Caenorhabditis elegans: one gene and its partners. The protein of the gene in region 1 purifies or fractionates together with the protein of each later gene. This does not show direct contact. Each region holds a gene or a part of one and is shown in the gene's direction. Other genes may lie near its edges.

Region 1 (8,437 bases):
ATTTCGATAAATCAAAAGTTTTGATGAAAACGAGGTTCCTGAAAAAAAGCGGGGTGACAGGGAATTTGCGGAAATAAATAATTATACTTCAGTTCTTTTTCTTTACTAATTAATCACAAATGTGTTTGATGTAAGAACAATACATGATACAGTAGTCATTTAAAGAATAACTGTAGTTTTCGCAAGGAGATATTGTGCGCGTCATTCTCAGAATTTTTCATTCCCGAAATAGCACCCGACACCTCCCAGGCTCACCTTCAACGTCGCTTCCAGAGCATTTCCCCCGTTCATTGCGCAGGCGGCCACCAGAGTTTTCGACGTGGAGAATGGCAGCCGGACTACGGTAGCCGGGATTACTGTAGCATTTTTTTCCGAAGTTTGAATAAGGCAACATAGTTGAGCAGATGTGCCGAGGATTACATCTAAAATTAAAAATCTGCTAAAATAAAAATAAAACTATTCTGAAAAAAGACCCACAAGCGGTATTTTCATAATAATCCAGCGATGCCACGGAAGCTTGCAAATCTCCTGATGCCACGTGGCACTTGGCACCGTGCCAAGTCCCCGAAACTTCAGAGGAAGAATTTATGTCAGGTAGTTTCAGAGTTTTAGGGAGAAAATCTAAAATTTCTGACTGCCACGTAGCGTTTTCAGTACAGTAACCCCAGCTGTGAGCGTTGTGGTGAGAGATGAGGGGGTCCGGGTTTTGTGTCAAAATAGAGATGAATAGGTCCATTATGGTTCCACAATGTATAAAATTCTGAAAAAAGTCATAAATTTTGTCCGAGTTATAGGGGTATGAGCCAGGGCTGTGCGGGCGGCAAACGGCAAACAGCGAATGCCGTTCGCCGATAATAATGATTTTTTTTGACCCCGACCACTTTTTAGTTTTCTAGATTCAATGCGTTAATTTCTGACCGTTAAAAATTCCGGATTACTGTAGTTCAAAAACGCCAGCGTAACAAGACCAAACCCTGGATGCAAATCTCCACATTCCCATTTAGGAATAGTTTTTAGAAACGCTGGGAGCTCCGTAGAACTGTATGTCCAATTGTACAATGGTGAGATGGTTAGGGTCTCTGGAAATTGCATTATTTTGAATGAGAAAACATTATTATTGTTTTTAAGATACAAAAATTTTTGCAACAAAAACTCCCATTTTGTATACCTAAATCAATTTCATTCTGTCGTTGCTTCCACATGACAATTCCATGCATTTGTCCACACGTCCATATATTGGATATTTTCAGATTTCGCGATTCTAAATTAGATTTTGTTCTCTGCAAAAAAAAAATTTGTCCAGTTTTTTAGGCGGTTACAAACTTCCAACAAATCCAAAACAGTTTGAATTATAATCTTCGGATTTTGAAGTCCAGCTGCATCAGAATTGTCACCTTCGTAGATTTTTTTGAATTCTAGGATTACGCTAAAAATATAAAGTGTTTTATCTATTTACAAAATCAGCGTACTAAAATTTACACACTCAGTTTTTGATGGCACTATGGTTTGATGGTTTTTGAAAAATTGAAATATTCCAAAGAACGTATTCAAAATAATTACCTATTTATTTGACTTGAAACTTTTTTTGATGACTTTTCAGATTTTGCCAGTGTTGTACAATTATTCTATTCAGAAAAAATTTACATTTCACATTTTGGTAATAGGTTTTTTGAGATAGTTTTGATCCAATCAAAGGAATAAAACAATTAATCACTTTTGTATTTTAATTTTGTTTTTCAAAACTTGCCAACTGATAATGTGCAGGCAATTTTATTTTTATTAATTTTGTGATTATATTGAATTTTCTCACTTTTCCCCATTCCTTGCACAAATTTTAGCCGAAGTTGTGCCAATATCAATGCCAACATGAACTTGCTCCGTCATCAATGATGATAAGAGTTTCCAATTTTAAGAGGAATCGGGGGTGAGGTTTCCTGGAATGAGAAGAAGCTTGAAAATGATAAGAACGGGCATAAATAGAGAGTGAGAGGGTGCAAGAGAAACAGAAAAATAGAAGAGTGGGGGAGACTGTTTTGGAGCGTTTTGGAGGTGTGCAGAGGCGGGAGTTTATGGATTTGCATAATTGAGGAAAGAAATTGGAAAAACATTATAAATCTATTGCAAACATAAAGCAAGTATGATTATAAGATTTAAAGATGGAGTACCGAAATCTGAGACTTTGCTTTTTTTAGATCCGAAGTGACCCAAAACTACCAAATTTCGTAATGAGAAGTTTTGAAAATTTCACAAAAACAATTCGTTGATGCAAGTACATTTTCGGTCAGTGGGGCACAAAAATGTAACTTTTCTTTGAAAACTAAAAACGTTTAAGAAATGAAAAGTGTTACCAGTTGACAACTTTTGTTATTTTTAACTAGTGTAGAGTTACTGTAGTTTGAATAGTGCTACCTGGAACAAAACATTGAACTCCGATACCTCGTCCGACAAGTGATACATATTAGAATATTGCCAAAACAGTTTTTAGATTATCTTTTTTTTGTTCAACTGACAGTTATTTCTTGGTAATGAAGATTTTTCAGTAATTTAGATTATCATGTAATGATGTTATAATGTAGTTAGAAGATTTATAGTAAATGCACAAACATATAGTTTAACCACCTATAAGCCTCTACAGCCGAAAAGTTAAAATATACTATCCAACACATGAATCTACATAAATTTTGTTATTTAGTTTACAACTTTTTTCTTTTCCTTTTTGTTGCCATGTTACATACATTCCCAGGAAGCTGCCGGCTGCTATTTTCACGTTTTTCAGATTGTCGATATCTCAATTATTCCATTTCTAATTGCTTTTTTCAAAATAATAATTAAACTATTAATTTCTTCCACACTTCGACCGATTTCTCATCTTTCCTCTTTGTTATCAGTGATAAGCAGAATAGGGTAGTAGTAACTTTTACGGGTATTTTGGGATTATACGGAAAGGGTAATGTAATGAAACTTTGAATCTTCGGCACTTTCAAGATTAGCTGCACCCTAACATTAAAAAAATATAGTTTATGATCCTAAATTTCTATTGTATTTCTAACTAGCATTGACTCATTACTTATCAGTGACTCATTTTCCCAGTATGGCTTCTTTAAGAGGAATGGTAGGCGGAAACTTCAATTTTAGGGAGTATTTAAAAGTTGGAGTCAATTGGAATGTTATCACTTTATTTTTTCTAGTTTTACATTCCTAGCGCTCCAGTGACTGGCGGTAGTTGATTTTTATCTCTTGGGGGTTTTTTATCTTAGGAGGTCATGTAAAGTTGTCAACTGACAATGTATAACATTTTTTTGAAATGCTTTGTTAGTGGACCAGCCGGCTTGAGCTACTGGAAAGTTCGGGGAGCCCGGATGTAAGCCTGTTGGCCTGCATTTTCAAAAATTTCGTAGGTTTATTCCATATTTGTTATACTGATTTGAGCAATTTTATAAAATCGGCCATAGCTAACAGCCTCCCAGTGCATATCATGTCAATTGACAATTTCATGTTCTAGAATTGAGCACAAATTCTGACAGGCTGCTTACATCATGCTCACCAAACTATGACTTTGTCTGTGTGACGTGATAATTTGTGTGTGTGTGTGTGTGTGAGTGTGTACATATAACCACCACGTACCTGCAATTCTTAGAACGAAGTGAGAGAGGGAGTTATCAGTATCAAACGCACACACATATATACATACAGAATGTGGCATATTCTCTCCATTCTCTCTTTTTCTCGTTTTCCCCCCGATGGTGAGCTGGCTGCGGTACTGATAACACACTTTGCATTTTTGGGGAAATGTGGCAACATTTTCATTTTTCGGCATTTTATAGTACTCGTACATCACTTAATAACGTTTTCTATAAACTCGACTTCTTCAACCTTTTATTAATTTCAGATGGAAGAAGAAATCGCCGCCCTCGTTGTCGACAATGGATCCGGAATGTGCAAGGCCGGATTCGCCGGAGACGATGCTCCACGCGCCGTCTTCCCGTCCATCGTCGGACGCCCACGTCATCAGGGAGTGATGGTCGGTATGGGACAGAAGGACTCGTATGTCGGAGATGAAGCACAATCCAAGAGAGGAATCCTCACCTTGAAGTACCCAATCGAGCACGGAATCGTCACCAACTGGGATGATATGGAGAAAATCTGGCATCACACATTCTACAACGAGCTTCGTATCGCCCCAGAGGAACACCCAGTTCTCCTTACCGAGGCTCCATTGAACCCAAAGAGCAACAGAGAAAAGATGACACAGATCATGTTTGAGACCTTCAACACTCCAGCCATGTACGTCAACATTCAGGCTGTGCTTTCCTTGTACGCTTCCGGAAGAACCACCGGAATCGTTTTGGACACCGGAGATGGTGTCACTCACACCGTTCCAATCTATGAAGTAGGTAGATGGGTTTAGAGAATATAAGAAGACAGCAATCTTCTTTGACTTGGCGGTGTAAAGTTTTGGAGATTACGTCTGCTTCGACTAATTTTTGCAGCCAGAAACAGGCTCACAGCGCTTTCGGAAACTTTTAGTTCAGCTCAGCAGCTCTTATCCTTAGTTTTAAGTTTTTGGAACTGTAAGAACTTAGTAAGAGCAAGGCCACCTCATTTCTCTGCAAATCATAGCCTGAGCTTCTGATCTTCTTATCTGATCCACAATCTTCTTGTGAGAATTCTTTGGGATCTAAGAAATCTAGAACCTACATCCGATCTTATCTTCTAATCTTCCAGGGATATGCCCTCCCACATGCCATCCAACGTCTCGATCTTGCCGGACGCGACTTGACCGACTACATGATGAAGATCCTCACCGAGCGCGGTTACACTTTTACCACCACCGCCGAACGCGAAATCGTCCGGGACATCAAAGAGAAGCTTTGCTACGTCGCCCACGACTTCGAGTCCGAGCTCGCCGCCGCCGCCTCCTCCTCCTCCCTCGAGAAGAGCTACGAGCTTCCCGACGGACAGGTTATCACCATCGGAAACGAGAGATTCCGCTGCCCAGAAGTCCTCTTCCAGCCTGCCTTCATCGGAATGGAAGGTGCCGGAATCCACGAGACCACCTACCAATCCATCATGAAGTGCGATGTCGACATCAGAAAGGATCTCTACGCCAACACTGTTCTCTCCGGAGGTACCTCCATGTTCCCAGGAATCGCTGATCGTATGCAAAAGGAGATTCAACATTTGGCTCCAAGGTAAGCTTCACATTTCTCAGTACATGAGATTATAATTCTTGTATTTTCAGCACAATGAAGATCAAGATTATTGCTCCACCAGAGCGCAAGTACTCCGTCTGGATCGGAGGATCTATTCTTGCTTCCCTCTCAACCTTCCAGCAAATGTGGATCTCCAAGCAGGAGTACGACGAGTCCGGCCCATCGATTGTTCACCGAAAGTGCTTCTAAGCTGATTTTTTTTCAAATTTTTTTTTTCAACATGTGCCTTCCATTTCTAGGCGAAACACGATTTTACTTGACACAAATTCCATGAGATACTTCATTTTCTTTATATTTATGGTTTCTTAACATGAATAAACTTGTTAGGACCACTTGCTACTTGGGAATTGAGTAAAATTGATGGTACTTGTGTATTATTTCCCCTCATTTTTTAAAATATAATTTTAAATAAAAACGTGTGGAGTTTTTGTTTTTTAGGCTTAGGAAATAATCATTTCTAAGCCTAAAGATGGAAAATGGACATCACGTTTTATTAAAATGGATAATATTAAAATGAGGGGAAATAATGCACAAGTACCAAATTGATTTTACTTAGAAATTAAGAAAAAAAAACAAACAAATAAGTTAACCTAAACCGGATCTGCCGTTCGGCAACTCCGGTACCATCCGGTTCCCGTTTTTTTCGGTGATACAGAGCTTTCTTGATACTTTTTTGACAACTTCCATAATTTTTATCTTGTTGCAATAACTGGGAAAAAGAAATTTTAAAAAGTGAACTGAAAAATGACTCTTGAGAAAAAATGATCGTACGGTCTTATAGTTTTACTGTAAAACATTTTTGATAGTTTGCAACATCCATTTTGATTTCTTATGGAAAATCGGTTCTTTTTGCTATAGAGAGCATGCAATTCTTCAAATAAAGTTGTCTCTAACTACAAGAAACCACCTTTCTGAAAAATGAGTCAAAAATGAGTAGATACATGCAATATCGGCGGGAATTATAAATATCCATAAATTGTGCCCAATTCTAAATTCTATTGCACTAAATATCCAGATGCAAATTTTTCCGAAATTACAAAAATTTTCGAGTAGCAGCCAGCAACAAGCTTTCGATAGGTACATAGTGATTTCTCGCAGGAAAAAGGATGAATTAATTTTAAAATGTTGAGCGCGTTCACACTACATATTTTTCAAATTGCACGCAATGTTACCTGCTTTTCTCCGGAGAAAAAAAAATAGTGAACATTTAAATAATCGGAAAAAAGTACGAAAAAAATTAGGAGCCGATTATTAAACTGAAAACTCTTCTTATAGAATTCGATTAAATTTTTTGTCAATTTTTTTCTTACACGTAAATACATTTCTTCCGACTTTTTTTTTTCAAAATTCACAATTCTAGTCAGACGGTTACGGTTCATTTGTTGTAAGTTTGTATAAAAAAACATTCCAAAAAGTTTAAACGTGCCGGCCTACAGATTTCCTCAATAGTTAAAATATTTTTTTCGCGTGGGTGGTCAAACTCAATTTATTACGAGCTTGGCTCTACTCGACGAACAACTCTCGATTGCAAATTCTAATAACCGTAAGTTTCTACACAGATTTTCCAGACATGAAATAAAGTTTTAGGTAAAAATGACTCACTTGAACTTTGAAACTCGCATGCCTCTTGGAACAGCCGTCATTGATCAATTCTTGGGACTTCGTCCTCATCCGACAAAGATCCAGGCGACCTACGTGTGGATCGATGGAACTGGGGAAAATCTCCGTTCGAAAACGCGAACCTTTGATAAACTTCCGAAGAGAATTGAGGACTATCCCATCTGGAATTATGATGGAAGCTCGACGGGGCAGGCAAAGGGACGTGACTCGGATCGTTATTTGCGTCCAGTCGCTGCCTATCCGGATCCGTTTTTGGGCGGTGGGAATAAGCTGGTGATGTGTGACACGCTGGACCATCAAATGCAGCCAACAGGTTAGGAAATAAAATAAACAGGCATTTAGATGCCTGCCTGCCTATGCGCCTTCTAGTTGCTTTGCTGACTTAATGCAATAAAAACTTCATGGAACACGTAGGCATTTGCGCCTATATGAAGTTTTTTTTAAAGAATTTTCAAAATTCATATTCGTTTAACAGTTTAATAGTTCTATTACTGTTAAATCTGTCGCGGCGAGACCTACTCCAAAAATGGTGCAAAAATGGTGCTCCTTTAAGAAGTATTTTCAGCAACCAGTCATCGTCAAGCATGCGCCGAAATCATGAACGAAATCCGTGATACCCGCCCATGGTTTGGTATGGAGCAGGAATATCTGATCGTCGACAGAGATGAGCACTCACTAGGATGGCCAAAACACGGATTCCCGGCTCCACAAGGAAAGTACTACTGTAGCGTCGGAGCGGATCGTGCGTTCGGGAGAGAAGTCGTTGAGACACATTATCGTGCTTGCCTTCACGCCGGGCTCAATATTTTCGGAACAAATGCTGAAGTGACGCCTGGACAATGGGAATTCCAAATCGGAACCTGCGAAGGAATCGATATGGGAGATCAATTGTGGATGTCGAGATATATTTTGCACAGGTATTTTCATCACGATCCTGTATATAATAAAAATGTTTCCAGAGTTGCTGAACAATTCGGTGTCTGCGTATCTCTTGATCCCAAACCAAAGGTCACCATGGGAGATTGGAACGGAGCCAGATGCCATACCAACTTCTCCACGCTGAAATGCGTGCTCCAGGCGGTATCGCCGCGATTGAAGCTGCCATGGACGGGCTCAAGCGTACTCATTTGGATGCGATGAAGGTGTACGATCCACATGGTGGAGAGGACAATCTTCGTCGTTTGACAGGACGTCATGAGACAAGCTCGGCTGACAAGTTCTCGTGGGGAGTCGCCAATCGTGGATGCTCAATTCGTATTCCGAGACAAGTGGCTGCGGAGAGAAAGGGATATCTGGAGGATCGTCGTCCATCGTCAAACTGTGATCCATATCAAGTGACTGCGATGATTGCACATAGCATTCTTCTTTGAAATTATGCTGTCTTAGATATCCAGAATAAAAGTACACGATTTATTCGAATCGAACGAAATAAAATATTTATGAGAATATCTTCAATTTTAAGCTGTTCAACTGTTACTCGGACGTCGATTCGGATTCGCATCTGTACGATTATGATGACTCCGAATGGTGCGCTTTTTGTAATTGATGTGCAAGCGCGCCCTAATGTTTATTTTTATAGAATTGCAGTACAGGGTGGGCCAAAA
Region 2 (8,874 bases), on another chromosome or scaffold:
TAAAAAATGTAGAAAAAAAGTTTTTTTGATCGACTTCCAAAATTATGAGTGGCAAAAACAATTGTCACTTTTTGACCGTAAATAAAAAAGTTTCAAAACAGTTTTGAAAAGTTTTATAATGATATTCGGTAACTTTTTGACCATAGGAGTTGTTTTTAACAATTTTCCCACTGGCGCTTTTTTAAGCAGTGTTATTCCAAGTAGCAATAATCTTTCAAAATACTTTTTTCTAAATTTACTGACTGGAGATACCAGTGAAAGCCACTAACTAACCCTGTACAAAAGACCAAATCACAGCTCCAGCTACACATCCAATTAAAACCAAAGAAATAGCAAGACGAATACCGAAACTTCGAAGGCTAAAATAAAAATCTACAATTTTCAAACAATTTTTTAAACAACTTACTTCTTGCCAAAATCTGCGCCTTCTACTAACTCGATATCGTCATCGTCTTCGAACTCGTCCGCAAATCTTGGTAGTGAGCCGCTTTTGCTCATCTGCAAACAAAAATAATAACTAAACTATATAATTTAAATTCATATTTTGTGTAAACCGGAAAAAGGAAAGGTTTTATCACACTGAAAATGGCAATAATTGCTCCACACGATACGTGGAGGGTAATAAATGTTAAAGATTTATCAGTGGCGGTTTCGTATGCAATGTGTAACTTTTGGAATGAAAGTCATAAATTTCAAGATTCAAGAGAGAGCTGGTATAAAATTTTTTAATACAACAGGAACAATCCGTATCATTTGTGTTTGTTGATGTTATTAAACAAAGTTCCGCATTATTATGGCAAAAATTGATAAAAAATGTTTGTGCACATCAACATTAAAAAAGGTTACTAATGTTTCCACATGAAGAGTCTCTGGAAAAATGAACAAGTTGTAATTTCACCGTAAAAGTAGTTCTGGAAGAACATGTTTGAAGAAAACCAAAAATTGACAATACCAAATAACATTCTATGTATGCAGGGTTGTCTGAAATAATTATTTTATATTAATTTCAAAGGAACACTATATGATAATATCTGGAATAGGGGAAGCAATTAACATAGTCATAATAAAACATAGTTAAACAATTCCTACAAATTTAATAGTCTAATTATGTTTAAAATACTCATATTCAAACATTACAGTGATTTGAGCATTCTGCAGTGCTATAATTTTGTTTTCAATAAGCTGCAAAAATGCAGTAATTGCAACATTTGATTGTCAACAAAAAACTATTCAAAACTTTCAAATAAGTGTTACTATGATATTTAATCATTTTTGCACCATAAAAATGTTTTTTTAAGCAATTTACCCTATGGCGCTACTCCACTATTAAAATCAGTTGGTGTTTCTGGATGAATGTATTTATAACTTTTATCGGCTGCTTTTTCCGATTATGTCTTCGGCTGCACTCAGTTTGTTATTACGAGCCATCTGTGCTCAAGGTCGATAAGGTCAACTTTCTCGAAAATACGTTTCCCCTGTCCTCATTGACATCTTTCCCCCTCTCGTGTCTCCTACTTTTCACCCTTTCACCAAATATCGATCAAGTCGATTTTCAACGGGTTCTCCAGGCAGGTGGCTAGTACGTACAGTTTAGAATTGAATAGTGATGTCGTTTCGTCTCGTAGTGTTGAACTCTGGCGTTGTCTAATTCTCTTCTCCGCAACGCATCTCTAGCTTGCACGGCGACGGTCACCCACGATGCTGGGTCGCAAAAGACCTCTGGTCACCCTTCCCGTTACCGCCGATGGTGATCTAATAGTTATCGAAAAAATGAAAGTATTGGATTTTTAGGTATTGTTGCTAGCACAACTGTATTTGTCGATATTGTTGTTTTTTAATTCTCAATTGGGAGCAACAAAATTTTTTACAAAGTATACTCATGTTTCAATATCGGTTCTTGAGTGATTGGTGATAATTAAATCTCATTTAGAAATTCTGATTGAATTTTTTTCCGGTATGTGATTTTTTATTAATATCCTGAAAAATCGGCGAACTTATGTTCAAATAATATAGTTTTTAGTTTAATGTCCCGGCATACTTGTTTGTTAGTTTACGTTTACCATCCAACCTTTAAGCACCTTTTCTAAGGTTTTTCTTACCCGGCGATGGTCACCCACGATGCCGGTCACCAAAGATGCCAGGTAGCAAAGGATCCCTAGTCACCCTTCCCGTTACCGTCGACGGTAATCTCATAGTTATCGAAAAATGAAAGTATTGGATGTTTTGCATGCTGGCTACCCAACTGTACTTGTCGATATATTCTAAAAGTTGTTTTCTCATTGTAATTTGAATGCAACCGATTTTATTACGACCGATTCCAATCCTTTAAATTTTTTTGAAAACTTTTAATGTCTTGTTTTATTAGAATTAGTATTTTTATTTCATTTCAAAATAAAAGCTGTTGAACATTTTTCAACATCACTATCTAATTTTCAAATTACAAGGACCGGCAAGTAAGTTAAATTTTTTTCAAATTTTGGTTAATAGCTAAGTAGCATTAAAAGTTTTAAATCGAAAATGTTTTCAGTTGTTGATAATGTTTGATTTATCTGAAAACTTTACTTTAATGCACAGAAGTAGTGTTCCCATTTGCGAATTCAAATACTCCAAGTAGTTCGAATGTTATAGCTTATTTGTTTATCAGTTTATGTTTAATCCCAATTCATCAAACACATTTTTGTGCGTTTTTTTTTACACGGCGACGGTCGCCCACGATGTCGGTCATCCTCGATGCCGGTCACCCACAATTCCAGGTTGCAAAAGACCCCTAGTCACCCTTCCCGTTACCGCCGACAATGATCTCATAGTTATCGAAAAGAAAGAAAATATCGGATTTTAGGCCTAACACCACATGTGTACACGCCGATATCATTTAGTTTTTTTGTGGTCAGTTTTATCACGAAGGTGCTTCAAAAATTGATCAATTCATAATTATGATAACCTTCAATTTATGACTTTTATGAAATTAGTTGGTTTTGATTACAGAGATGAGAAAATGGTTTTTCAATGAAAGTTCTCACTTAACAATATACATTCTAAAACTATGCCAATTGTTCAAACCAAAACAAAATTGCAAGTCAGTTAAACTTGACTTTAATTATTGACAACAATTAGGTAGATTTCAAAAAGCCAAATCAAATTATTGTTTCATTATTTCAATGGTTAAAAAAACTCGCCTTAAAAGTTTTGTTTTGTCTGAAAACCACAAAGTCATCTGTTCCCGTTTACCTACAATACTTACTTACTTACTAAACTTTTCATTCACTTTTTGTTTATTTAACTTTTTGTGTATCAGTTTTTGTTTACTTTCCGTCCATCAAGCTTTTTTTTCCTCACTCATCCTTTATTTCAATTCTCGTCCTTTTTTCTATAATTAACAACACAAATCTTAATTTTTTCAGTTTAACTCCATAAGAATGGCATCGTTAGCACCATTCTTTAAAATTTCCGACTCCATCTTGGTAAGTGTCAAAACTTTTGTAAAATTTCAACGTTTCGATGCAATATTTGCTATTCTAATAACTTGGTGTTTTCACTTAACACAAGTCTTTACACTTTTAATAAGAACCGATAATCACAGTGAGATGTGCAGTGTTACCACTTATTGAGTAGTATCCTTGTGCAAACACCCCCACGACATATTGCGTACATTCCCGATTCAGAAATTTCTGGCTTATAAGGAAGCAATAACTCTAATTAATTTTAAAAAAAAAGAATAAAACGCTAAATATTATATATACTCAGGCTGATGAAAGTTTCGACGATCTGGAAATCAATAATCATTTTAAATGCACTAGCAAAGGTAAGTAAAGTGTTTTTGTCAATTATCTTATAATTTTTCAACTTCAGATCTAAATGAATACCCAAGAACTTCAACCCCATTGCCTGGAGAGATAACATCAATTTACAGCTTACCCAGATCATATAGTAGGTGTTAATGGATACGATTTGTATTTTTTTAAAGACAAAATTCAAATATGATAAAATTAACTTTTCAGATAATCAAAACCTTTGTACAAGAAGTAAACCAACAACATTCATTTCACAAAATCGTATGTTCGATTACGTTAAAAAATGTTTCTATTATTCATTTTTTCAGAACAAAAAGGAATGACGGAAAAACCGAAGCATTCTGAATATTTTTTAAGACTGATGAAAACACGCCAAGAAATGCAGAAAAAATTAACTGCGAAAAATGGTTCAAACAAAAGTGTGCAGCAATATTTGAGAAAGTTACCGCCCAGTACGAGCAAAGAAGTGACGATAATACCAGTGAAAATGAAACCTGATGACAATTCAGTTTATATTTCTAAAGAATTAAGTGACAGGACTGACACAAAACTACCGAAAGTTTCAACAAAAGAGGTAGAAAAATTTGGAGAGCAGTCAGATGATGAAGAGAGGCATGAGAGGTCTCATATCGCATCGGATTTTAATCAGAAGACCCCGCAATCAACGCATGCAACGAGTAACCATAGGAAGAGAATTTTCATAGGGAGGACAGGTGCTAAGCAACAGCATGTTAGTAAAAAAGCCACAGAGAGTGAATTACCTTATAATATCGACGTGTCAACCTCCAACACGACAAATGCAACCGAGGCTCTCAAACTGTTAAAAAGGCCACTTCTGTTACCAGTGAGTTTTAAAACTTACAAATTTAACTAACAGTTAGTTTAGTGACATAAAAATTAATAAAAGTTAGTGAAAAAGTAAAACATGACCGACTTTCTATGAATTTCAAACATAATATTTCCAACTAAAACCAAGAAGAACCAATAAACTGTAAAATAAAATAAAATGTAAAGTTTTTACTAAACATAACGATTTAACAAAAAAATAAAAATAAAACTTCAGTTGTTATATGTTTTCAAGATAATTTTTGAAAGAGTTCTTATTGTTGGAAAATTATTAGTAACTTTCCTTATAGAGAACATTTCATATTTAAAAACCAATAAAACATTCAAATCGTCACTGAAACATAAATTGGCAAAAAAGTAGGCAATTTCTATTTGAATTAACACCCATCAGCCAGTTTTTTTTTCAAATTTTTTCACCGTGTTTTACACAGCTTTGCATGAAATTTTTAAAGCTAAAATGTATAATCTTGTATTTTCTCAACAGTTTCTCTTAAACAGATCATGTTTCATATCAAAGTTTTACACAGCAAAAACTGCAAAAAATGAAAACATGAAAACGTACAAAAGTGTTCAAAACTATTCCAAAATATTAATTTCCCAAAAAATAATGGCTTGTAATTTTCAGAGTAAGGATCCACGATCGTCAAAAATGCCCCGTTTAGATCTCAATCAACATCAATTCCGCTGCAAACAGTACATAGTCCATTCACAATTTACATGTACTCAAATTGAGAAAACATTTAAGTGCAGAGTTGGAACATCGACAGAGAGTGAAGACCTTGATGATTACTATTTTGATGGTGAGTACTTATTTGTTCTTGTGTCAGTTATCAATAAGCGAAGAAATAAACAAAAACAGTATTGGAAATTAAATCGAATGGTCTGCACACTGTGTCAACCACAGCGCCTCCATGATCTTAGAAACAAACAAATGAGCAAGAGATTACCGTGCGCTCTTTTCCCGACAAACATAGAAATATAGTACTTGATAGAAAAGAAATAGGGAAAAGAGGAGGGCAAAAAGCAACAAGTTGTGAAGAATAGTCAACAATATTGGTCGGGAGGGAGGTTTCTGCTTGTACGTATATATTTATTGAAGTGACGCCGACTGACGACGCAGGATTTGCTTTCATACAATTTTTTTTGGGGGGAAACACGATAAAAATGTCCCGTCGTTTTTATGCATCAATGCATCATTCTTCGGAAGTTACTATTATACATACAATCACTTTCTTAGGGTTTTTTTCTTTATTTTCCAGTGAATGCTCAAATTGTATATTTTCTAGTATGATTTTAATAGAAGAAAGTTTTCATTGAAAATAAGACAAATAGATAGGTCAAATAATATATAATAAATTGAGTGGTATAGCATTCTATTTTTTCGAATCAAAAACTCAAATCTTAAACGAATAATTTTTTCCATCCAAACTGAGCTACGATTTTGACACTTTCTGAATATTTTCAAAAATTTACAAGCCTAGTCGTATATTTTGAAATTAAATAATTAAACCTTGAGAGGTTGGCAATTTTAACATTTCCGAATTTTGACATTGCCGAACATCTCTGCAATGAATGTTTGGGGGTTCTATGTATTCTTGTCGTAACTATTTGTTTTCTTTGCACTCGTTCGCTTTGACCAGACCACTTTTCTTTTATGCTATGAACTCATTACGCAGAGATCTCGCACAACAATTTGTTACTTGCACTGTTCATCTTGTCCTTTTTACTCTTTTTTCCTTCCGTTTACTTTTTCATATTGCACACAATGAGACTGTGCTGATGGCTGCTTCAAAATTTCTGGGACTGTGCTTCACATTCTTGTGTACTCTTTCGCTCACCACCAGTTTTTTGCACTGTTCTCTAGAGTGAAAAAGGAAAATTGAACAGTTACATTGTGTTCGGTTTCAGTCAATTTTTTTGTTGTACAATTAGCGTCGCTAGAAAAAGTGTTTTTTTTGCTACTCTACTGTTCTTGTCTCATGCTATTTTGTAGAGTTTAAATTTATTTTTAAAAAATGAATGTCAATTAAAATGTGAGAACTGGTAGAATCAAATATATACGTTTCATTTCTCGCGTAAAAAATTAAGAAAGTAGTCTTCTAACCTTCCATCTAGGCTATAAATCTCATTTATCTCTAGTTCCACTTGGCCACCAACTCCTCCGCAAGCAAATGATGATGATAGGGACCATTCGTAAAAGCCGCAGAAGCCCGAACAGTCAACTCGAACAGTTGTGGGGTCTTAGCGTGTGTGTTAGCAGGGAAATTTCTTTTTCCAAAGCGTATGAGGAGGTCCCGCTCGGTCGGTTAAATGAGCAAATATCTTCGCGACATATGCCAACGCGATTCGTATTACGTTTATCTGCTCGTCTAACACGAAGGCGAAATTGATGAAACGTGGGTGGGAAATGGAAACTAAGGAGAACTTCGGGGGGACGTGTGAAGCCGATAATGATGAGATCATACACTATTTGTCGTCTGCATATTGATCTATGTAGGACATGTACTCAACGATTTTATCTATTTCTCGGAACTTTTTTTTTTTAATTTTGAAGTGTTTTTGCGAAATTGTTTGTCTCTGCCGATTATTTTGAGAACAAATCGGCGTAGTTGTAAGAAAGATATAAATCAACCTGGTAAGAATTCTACCAATAACTAAAACTATTTAACTTCATCATGTACATTTCATTTGCCAAACAAAATTCTTTAAGCTATTTGCTCAATTTTCTTTTTTCATATCCCGCTTTTTATGATATCATCAATGTTCATTCAAAAAAAATCACACAACCACTCAAAAATACAAAAGGCTGTCTCAAGTATACACATACTTCTGCAGCTTTTCCTTTCCTCTAGGAGTATTTTTTGTGATATGATCACATTGAGTTTAGATCGGATTCGAGAATGATATTGAATGAATCGTGGCGCCAGGTAACTGAAATTTTATTTGTCAATGAGAAAGCGAGAGTTCCTTTTCTTCCACTATCCACCTACTCTATGGGGGTGCGAGCCTTTGTTTGTCAACTTGAGCTATTAAAAAAAGATACTGTTGAGATAAGTGCCGATTTCGATTTTCAATGCACTGCGGCTCTATCATATCTGCCTCCCCTACTAAACCCGCGCTCATTTTTTGTTTGAAAAATCAAAATCGCACGTTTCTTCATTCCGTCATAGTCATAGATTTCTGATAGGTTCCACGAGATGCGTTGGATCAGCCATGCAAGTCGTTGAGATTGCATGAGTTTCAGTTTCACGGGATGAACATATGTTCCCCGATCATGATGTGTGTGTTTTACATTTTTAGATGATTTATTGGGAAATTAGTTTTGTGCAATAGGTTTTCTGTCGTTTTTAGCTGTTATGGTTTATGTATATGTATATTCTTATTGGGTGGTATTTGAGAAGCTTGCCAAATTCATAAATCTCTTATCAAATCTATTAACATCTATCCAATGTACCCCGAACTAACTAGTTACTTTTTATTCTTTCTTCTGTGGGACCTTTTTCTGTGAGATATTTGTGTTCTTTCACTATCAGTGGTCGGCTGGCTAGCTGTCCTCCCACGCAGTAAACTTTACGGATCGATAGGTGATCAGGCAGCAGAAGCAACAGTGGTCCTGCCGAAACTTTCGAGAAAGACACAGAGCCAAGGCATGTTGATAATCATTGATAGTGATAGGTTCGACTCTGTCTCTCTGTTTTCTCTGGTCCATCAATCTGAGCCGTCATATCTACTTGCTCTGGACTCCCGCGGGGGCGCGCTCCTGCTCCGAGACCTTCTTTCTCTCCTTTATCCTCTCGCCTCTAGTACACAGCACGGTAGGAAGAGAGAAGCGGGAGGGAGGGCGCCGATTTTTGTGTAACGCTCCGAAGCGCGCCTCTTGTCACACTGTGATTAGAGTTGGCAATGCAGCCTCGGCAACGGCGGCGGAGTCCCGCTAGTACAGAGACTTGGGATGCTCCCGTGGATGTGCCTGCCCTCTCCGACTCTCACCGCATACCCACTTGGCATCCTTGTCCATCTCCTATCACTTAACATTTTGTTCTTGGCCTTGACCAGTCCAACTTTTTTTACGCAGGGGAACTCTGTGTCTATTTTAAGACATATATTTATGTGCTCGTGTGTTTTTACAATTCCTCTTTCTAAGACTTCTTGTGTTACTGTGTTACAATGCTTATAACAAAAACTAGACGGAACGAAAACAATAAAATGAAACACTGGAAGAAATGTTCGCCATTCC
Region 3 (7,277 bases), on another chromosome or scaffold:
ATAACTGCGTTACACTGATAACAATACTTCTTTATAGCAAGAATAGGAATTTAGAAAATGTATTTTCAACTCAAAGACTCACTTTTTGATTTCGTCATCTGTGGCATTTTTCTGAATGCCGAGAACATTGTACAAATGAAGTCCCTTTTTCGGATCGTGCGAATGATCAGCGGCTGGAGATTCTTCACGGGGAGATGCTCCTCCACTTGTTCTCCCTTCCTCCGCTTCCCGTAATCCGTCTGAGTTCATTTCCCTGAAATTAGATTTGCATTTAAAAAAGAAAGGAAACAAGGAGGAATTTATTTAAAACAACGGAAATTGAAAACTAAACCTATCACATTAAAATGCCAATAGAAAAAAAAACTAGAGAGAGTGTCGAGGGGAAACAGTTTAGCGAAATATTCGCCGAACAGTTCAGATCACAAGTCAAAATCAATATGTAAAACACTTATGAGCCTTGACGGAGAGCGCGAAAATTGGGAGAGACAACGGCGAAAAATGAGAGTGTAAATAGACGCAACCATTCCCATACGGCAGTGGTGACACATAGTGGGGGAGAGGAAGAGGGTCGTAAATGCGCTCCGCCGGCCTCGCATGCGGTCCCGCAGCGCGTTGTTTCCCATATTGACACAGCTCGAAATGTGTGTTACCGTAGGTCATCAACCTGATGATCACTCGTTGCCTAAAAATTTTTCGCTTTTTTTTGCGTGGCTTTTATCAATTTTCAATTTTCAATGAAATTTTTCGAAGAGATATTTTATTTTTCTTTTTTAAAATTAAATTTTTCAGAGATCGCGTCACATGGAATGTTCACCGGCACAATTTTCAATAGCTTATTCACATTACCGCTGGTCATTTCACAATTTGTTCCACCACCAACGCGTCCAGTAGATCTATGGGATCCGTTTAAAACAACGACAACACCATTTCCCCATGGCGGAGTAAACCAAGTAAGTATTTTGAATTTTTTAAACTATGTTTACCTAGAAATTTAAACTTTTCTAGTAGTTATTATCAAAATGATAGAAAATAGAATGTTATAAAATAATGATGTAAGATTATTTTAAAGAAACTGAATTGATTATTTTCGCTAAAAAATTGAGCCAATTTATTATTCTTTCTCTGAACTCTGCAAAAGATGTTTCGCTCTATTTGCCTAAATGCATATCGATTTGCGTCGTCACCTCACCTAACATTTGTGTACATTGCAGGGGTTAAACCGAGATGAAGTGGTTGTTCGACTGCCTCTGGGAGACATTGTTGGCAAAGAGGTTCATCTCCACAACCTGCCCTGGACAATTCACAAAGATCCAACCGAAGAGCTTCCCAAGGACGGAACACACTTTGATCCGAATCCACTGAAGCCCAAAAACAATATCACAGTCTTCACATTTCTAGGAGTGCCCTATGCAGAACCACCGACGTCTCAGAGAAGATTTAAGGTACACTTATTCCGACATATCATAAATTGAATAACTCATTTTACATTTTTACAGCCACCACAGCAGCTTACCGTCTTTCCAGGGAAACAACCGTATTTGGCATTCAATTACGCGGCTTCATGTGCTCAAGATGTTGAAAAGTCGCCCAGTCCATTTGTAGATCATCCTTATCCATTCATGGTCGATGAAGATTGTCTTTACTTGAACATTTTCTCTCCTGACGTAAGAAGTTTTATTGAATTTTTCTTATGAAAAATAATTATTTAATTTTCCAGATTTCCAAAAATGCACAAACCACTTATCCGGTAATTGTGTTCTTCCACGGCGGGAATTTCCAAACTGGGTCTGCAAATGAGTGGCCAGCGCATGGACTTGCTTCTCGAGGAATGGTTGTAGTAACTGTCAACTATCGTCTTGGTGCTTTCGGCTTCATGAGTATGGGAGATTCTGAAACCGGCAACTATGGACTACAGGATCAGAGACTAGCCTTGGAGTTTGTGAAAAACAACATTGTAACGTTTGGCGGAGATCCACAAGCTGTCACAGTTGTCGGGCACGATGCAGGAGCAGCTTCGATCGGATTTCACATGCAGTCACCGTATTCCAGGCACCTCTTCAGATCGGCGGCCACAATGTCCGGAGCGGAAGTTTCATATCACTCTTACATTGGAAAAACTGCACTGGCTTTCAACAACACAATGAAGCTGGGACGCTACGCAGGATGTACACAAGCTGTTGCACAACATCGTTGGGATTGTATTCTGACAAGATCAACCGGAGACATCATTGATGCAACAAGGAACATTCCTATCGAGTACAACAGATACTTGTTCATGCCAACGGTGGATGGAAAATATCTCCCTGGAAACCCGCTATGGACTCTCGTCAACGCGCCGAGTGGGGAGACTTCAATCATGAGTCCAGTACCAATGCTTATTGGAATGAATGCTCAAGATGGCAGTGAAGTCGTGCTGGAAGACAGAAGACTCGGAGAGTTTAGTCAGTTCAACGATGTCGACCACGAGTATTTGAAAAGTTACTCGCTGGAATATTGCTACCGTCATAACTACTCAATGAATCGGGAAGCTACCGCCGACGCGATCCTCTCCAAATACACTTTCTGGCCTGATAGAGCAGCTGCTTGGGCAATCAAGGAAAACTTTATCCAATTTGCTACCGATGCTTACTACACTGCTCCGATGCAACTCTCCTCGCATCTCCACAGTTCTTCGGGATCACGAGTTTTTCAATATGTAAATAATTACAACTTCAGTCGCCAGCATCCAAACCTGCTATTTATTCCTGACTGGATGGGAGTTTGTCGGGATTGTGACTTGTATCTGATGTTTGGCTATCCGTTTTTACCGGACGAGCTGAGACCGATTGGTCTGCGAGGCATAAATTTTACGGATACAGATAGAAACGCGAGCAGGACGTTTTCCAACATCATACGTCGATTCAGTTATCATCAGAACCCAAATTTTCAATTTGATGGCAGCTGGGCAGCATACGAACCAAGGCGTCATTGGTACATTAACTTTAACTACACACATGAAGAAGACTGGAAGATTCCTGGAACTCTTGCAAGAGACTATCGCTATCAAGATGTTGCATTCTGGAATGAGTACATCCCTGCATTGGTGAACTACATGACAACGACGTTTTCCCCTGAAAATGTTGCGTACCGACGAGAAATCATGGTTTTCAAATGGATCACTGGAGTCAACGTCATCATCATCGCTCTACTGATAGTACTTGCTGGCGCGTTTGGATATATGGTTTGGGGAAACAAGGAGGACGAGGAGGCGGCTTATAAAGCAGAAAACCACCAACTCGTCGAATACCGGGACACTGGTCACTCAGTGTCGGATGCTACTATTTCTTCACGGACTCGATCACCAAGATCTAGAATAACCAATCTTTAACTTTCAAAGTTTGTAAATAATGTATAATTTAAATTTTTTAGAGTACTAACATAATAATTACTAACTTCTGTGATCAGAATCTCATTTCACTTACTTTTTATGTTTAGTACGAGTTTTAAACCATCCAATTGTGATCTCTATTTTTTCGGAGCCTTATCTTACTGATGCCTTATTATTATCATAATTGTTATTGCATTTTCAAAAAGAAAACATGTATTGTCTAATGATTTTTTTAATTGTTCATTTAACTGGTTTTTTGAGCCGCTGTTTATCTTTTTTAACTCAATTTTCCAGTCATTTTCACTCTAATCAATTGTTCAGGGTAAAATGGCTCCAAGCGCTCCAGCTAAGACTGCCAAGGCTCTCGACGCCAAGAAGAAGGTCGTCAAGGGAAAACGCACCACCCACAGACGTCAAGTCCGCACCTCCGTGCACTTCCGTCGCCCGGTCACCCTCAAGACCGCCCGTCAGGCTCGGTAAGTTATTTCAGTCCAATTAAAAGAACTATTTAAAAAGTTGAATGATTTTAATTATCGATTTTCAGTTTCCCACGCAAGTCTGCCCCAAAGACCTCCAAGATGGACCACTTCCGCATCATCCAACACCCATTGACCACTGAGTCCGCCATGAAGAAGATCGAGGAGCACAACACCCTTGTCTTCATCGTCAGCAACGACGCCAACAAGTACCAAATCAAGGACGCCGTCCACAAGCTCTACAACGTCCAAGCCCTCAAGGTTTGTTGGAAGCATCTTAATTTCCAGGCAAAAAGAAATCAAAATGCTTGTTTTTAGGTCAACACCCTCATCACTCCACTTCAACAGAAGAAGGCTTACGTCCGCCTCACCGCTGACTACGATGCTCTCGACGTTGCCAACAAGATTGGAGTTATCTAAATTGTTTTCTTGTTCCTTGTTTGTTCAATAAACAATTTGTTATTAAAAATGTTTGCTGATTTGGTAGGGAAAGAAATACTAATTGTAAGAGCAGTAGTTATCATACATTTCATGAAAATCACCCTGATTTAAAATTAAAGCGCTAGAAATGGTTGTTTGTTGAGCCTAAAAATACAACAATATGTTTTTTGATTCTAAAAAATTATTGACTTAAAAAACTACTTTTAAAATGAGGGCATGTAATACACAAGTACCAAATTTCGTTTTTTTTTTCTCACCCATTCTACTTCGTACTCTTTTTTTTGAGTGTTTCACGCGATGAGACCGTTTTGAAAATGTTGCACTAACTAATAAGCAATATTGTGCCATGATAACTTCAGATTTTTCATTTCACAACTCTAGATTTGTTGTTGTTCTTGTACAATTTTGAGCTGTTGCCATATTTCAAAGAATATCCTAAAGAACATGAGTGCAAAACTCTTACAACGATAAATTGTTCATTTTTTTTATTTTTTTGAACATTGTAAGCAATTTTTTTTAATGACAAATACTATGAAATTAAATGAAAAATACAATTTATTACAAAAAAACACTGCAACTGGTTATTCATTCATACATTAAAATAAATATTGAGAGATCAAGAGTAATGCGAAAAATTTCGAAAAAAAACATGATATCTGGCAAAAACGTGTTTGAGATCAAAAGTTATTAACCAGAAGTGATTGAAAAAGATAATGGATGAAAGGAGTTTGCATGAAAACAATTTTCTGCAATATTACTACAAGTTTTCACAATTCTAACCGGAAGATGAAATTAAATTACTGTTCTCAGGACAGTTACTCGGTGTATGGCGGTGGGGGATCACGCATCAGTGCAATAATTAGATCTTCTTCGTGATTTGTTCGTGGTCTGAAAAATAAATAATAAACATCTGAAATATTCACAGGTATTTTTACCTTTTATTTCGCATTATTATTCTGGAAAGACTTCGTTCTAACTGTCTATCTCGGATCACAGCTATCAATGGATTTGCGACACAATGAACAGAGAATGCCGCAACTTCAATCCCCATAATTGAGTTATACTGGTCCTGAAGTTGTGTTCCAATTTTGTAATCTAACAATAACATGATTATTTACCTTTTCCTTGGACTCCCAGGCAACCATCATAAAAATTATAATAAATGATAAACTATTCAACAGCAACCATAGTGACGCTGTTGCGCAGTCCTTCTTTAACCGTACTGTTTGACTATTTTCCTACAAAAATTTCAATACTCAAATGCAATTTTTCGATCCCTTACCTCTGGATTAAGACGTTGTGATATGATTAGCTGGATGAGATTGAGCGGATGAATAATCAAATTGAGCACAAGGAATACGGATAGAAGAGCAAGATGAAAAGGCACTGCTAACACAAAAGATCTCGAGAGGCGGATTAGGAAAAAGTCGGATAGAAGCAGTAACGTTACGAGAAGCCATGTTGAGCCGATTAATCGAGATAATTGAGACCTGGAAATGTGTCGATGGGATAATAAATTAGAAATGTATAATAACAGTGAAATTCAGTTAATTCAAAGTACTAATTTTAGTTTCAAAATTTTGAAACATTTCTTGGTTTTGAGGAATTATTTTAAAAAATAATCACAAATTAAATATTTCTAAGACTGAGAAACAATGTCTTTATTTATGTTTTATACTTATTTTCGAGTTTTTCGAATACTTTCAATTTCTCTCATAAAAATGGTATTTAAGTATTTATTAGTTGAAAAATGTTACACTTAAGCGAGCTCGTCTATTTTTTCAATGAACTGTTTTTTTTTCAGTTAACAAGGCTCTGCGGTAACCGGCATTTTGTCGTAATTTCAAAAGTTACTATACTTTAATTGAAAGAATGTCGATAGCCGACTTCTGAAAATGCCAATTGCCAAAAACTTCCAGCATCTAAATAGTGAATTTAAGTCTACTTACTTTGCGTTATTTTTTAAATTTGCACAAAAAAGTATTTGAATAATAAAATGACACTGAAGTCTGCCATATTAAAAAATTATTGTTCTGGTTATTCCAAACCAAGTTTTTTTGGTCAAGTTTTGGTGTATCTGATTAATGAAATGTGACAAAGATTTGCATATGCCCAATTTATTTTGAGTCACCTTCCCTACTTTTGATAAGAAAATTTTATTTTTTGAGCGTAGTATTTATCAATGCATATAATTTTCAAAATGTAACAAAAAAAATACTATATAACTGTGCTAAAGAATAGTAATTAGTTGACCCCTTGACTAAACAACAAGAGAAGGGAAGGAATCTTTTATGTAACAAACAAGGAAAGTTTCATGTTTCTTTTTGGAAAACTTTTTAGCGTGGACGACGACGGGCACTAATGAAAATCTCGAGAGACTCTTTTATGTGACGCATACATGGGAAACATGTATGTGATGTGACATTCGGTGCATTTGCCCTTTTTCATATTTTAATTTAAGGAAATTTTTCAGGAAAAGTGAGGAGTGCACCTGATTTGCTCTCAGGGGCAAAAACCCTAAGCTTCCCCGAAAGCAATAAACTAACCTCGATAGATGATAGTTGTGTCGCGCGAGCGCGTGCACAAATCCAATTGTCAGCAAGGTCAGCAAGCTAATAGTCGAGTTCAACAAAATAGCAGTCGTCAAAGCCGGAAATTTTTCCAATTCAGCGAACGAACGAGACTTCATGTCGACTAGCTGGAAATGACAGAACGTTGAAATTTTGGAATTTGAAGATGAATTTTCGATTAGCTGGATAGAAGACTGCAATGTTCCATATATAAATATTCATAATTATATTTTGGAGGTATCTTGTTAATTTAAAATTTCCATCAAGATCAAACATTGAAAGAAAAATGTTTCCCAAATTTTTTGAGCTTAATTATAACTAACTGTACATATTCCTGAACTGTCATACCCTACTGTTTGCCATCCAGAACAAAACTTTTTGAATGGAGAACAACAAAAAATTAGATTTAATAAAAGTTAAAAT

The links. The genes of interacting proteins can lie anywhere in the genome.
Region 2: the proteins of act-5 (region 1) and dim-1 fractionate together in Caenorhabditis elegans (co-fractionation; one large-scale study listed by BioGRID). This does not show direct contact.
Region 3: the proteins of act-5 (region 1) and rpl-23A.1 fractionate together in Caenorhabditis elegans (co-fractionation; one large-scale study listed by BioGRID). This does not show direct contact.

Annotation. Positions count from the first base shown.
Region 1 is NC_003281.10:13,601,519-13,609,955, reverse strand, and holds act-5 (Actin), read left to right. Parts: upstream 1-3,889; coding exon 3,890-4,390; intron 4,391-4,725; coding exon 4,726-5,192; intron 5,193-5,242; coding exon 5,243-5,402; 3' UTR 5,403-5,544; downstream 5,545-8,437. Other genes in the region: shpk-1 (Carbohydrate kinase FGGY N-terminal domain-containing protein), read right to left, coding at 256-422, 478-760, 919-1,079, 1,169-1,280, 1,324-1,426, 1,811-1,884.
Region 2 is NC_003284.9:8,052,755-8,061,628, reverse strand, and holds the start of dim-1 (Disorganized muscle protein 1), read left to right. Parts: upstream 1-3,408; 5' UTR 3,409-3,416; coding exon 3,417-3,461; intron 3,462-3,744; coding exon 3,745-3,802; intron 3,803-3,849; coding exon 3,850-3,927; intron 3,928-3,998; coding exon 3,999-4,052; intron 4,053-4,099; coding exon 4,100-4,635; intron 4,636-5,262; coding exon 5,263-5,437; intron 5,438-6,920; exon of another isoform or gene 6,921-7,056; intron 7,057-8,129; exon of another isoform or gene 8,130-8,475; intron 8,476-8,539; exon of another isoform or gene 8,540-8,723; intron 8,724-8,874. Other genes in the region: C18A11.3 (DUF4309 domain-containing protein), read right to left, coding at 274-359, 407-498.
Region 3 is NC_003284.9:4,711,490-4,718,766, forward strand, and holds rpl-23A.1 (Large ribosomal subunit protein uL23A), read left to right. Parts: upstream 1-3,688; 5' UTR 3,689-3,694; coding exon 3,695-3,843; intron 3,844-3,911; coding exon 3,912-4,104; intron 4,105-4,161; coding exon 4,162-4,263; 3' UTR 4,264-4,311; downstream 4,312-7,277. Other genes in the region: dnj-14 (J domain-containing protein), read right to left, coding at 83-249; Neuroligin-like protein glit-1, read left to right, coding at 807-950, 1,212-1,442, 1,497-1,664, 1,718-3,367; F55D10.4 (G_PROTEIN_RECEP_F1_2 domain-containing protein), read right to left, coding at 5,100-5,172, 5,220-5,353, 5,403-5,522, 5,567-5,774, 6,831-6,982. UniProt on the Caenorhabditis elegans protein: This protein binds to a specific region on the 26S rRNA.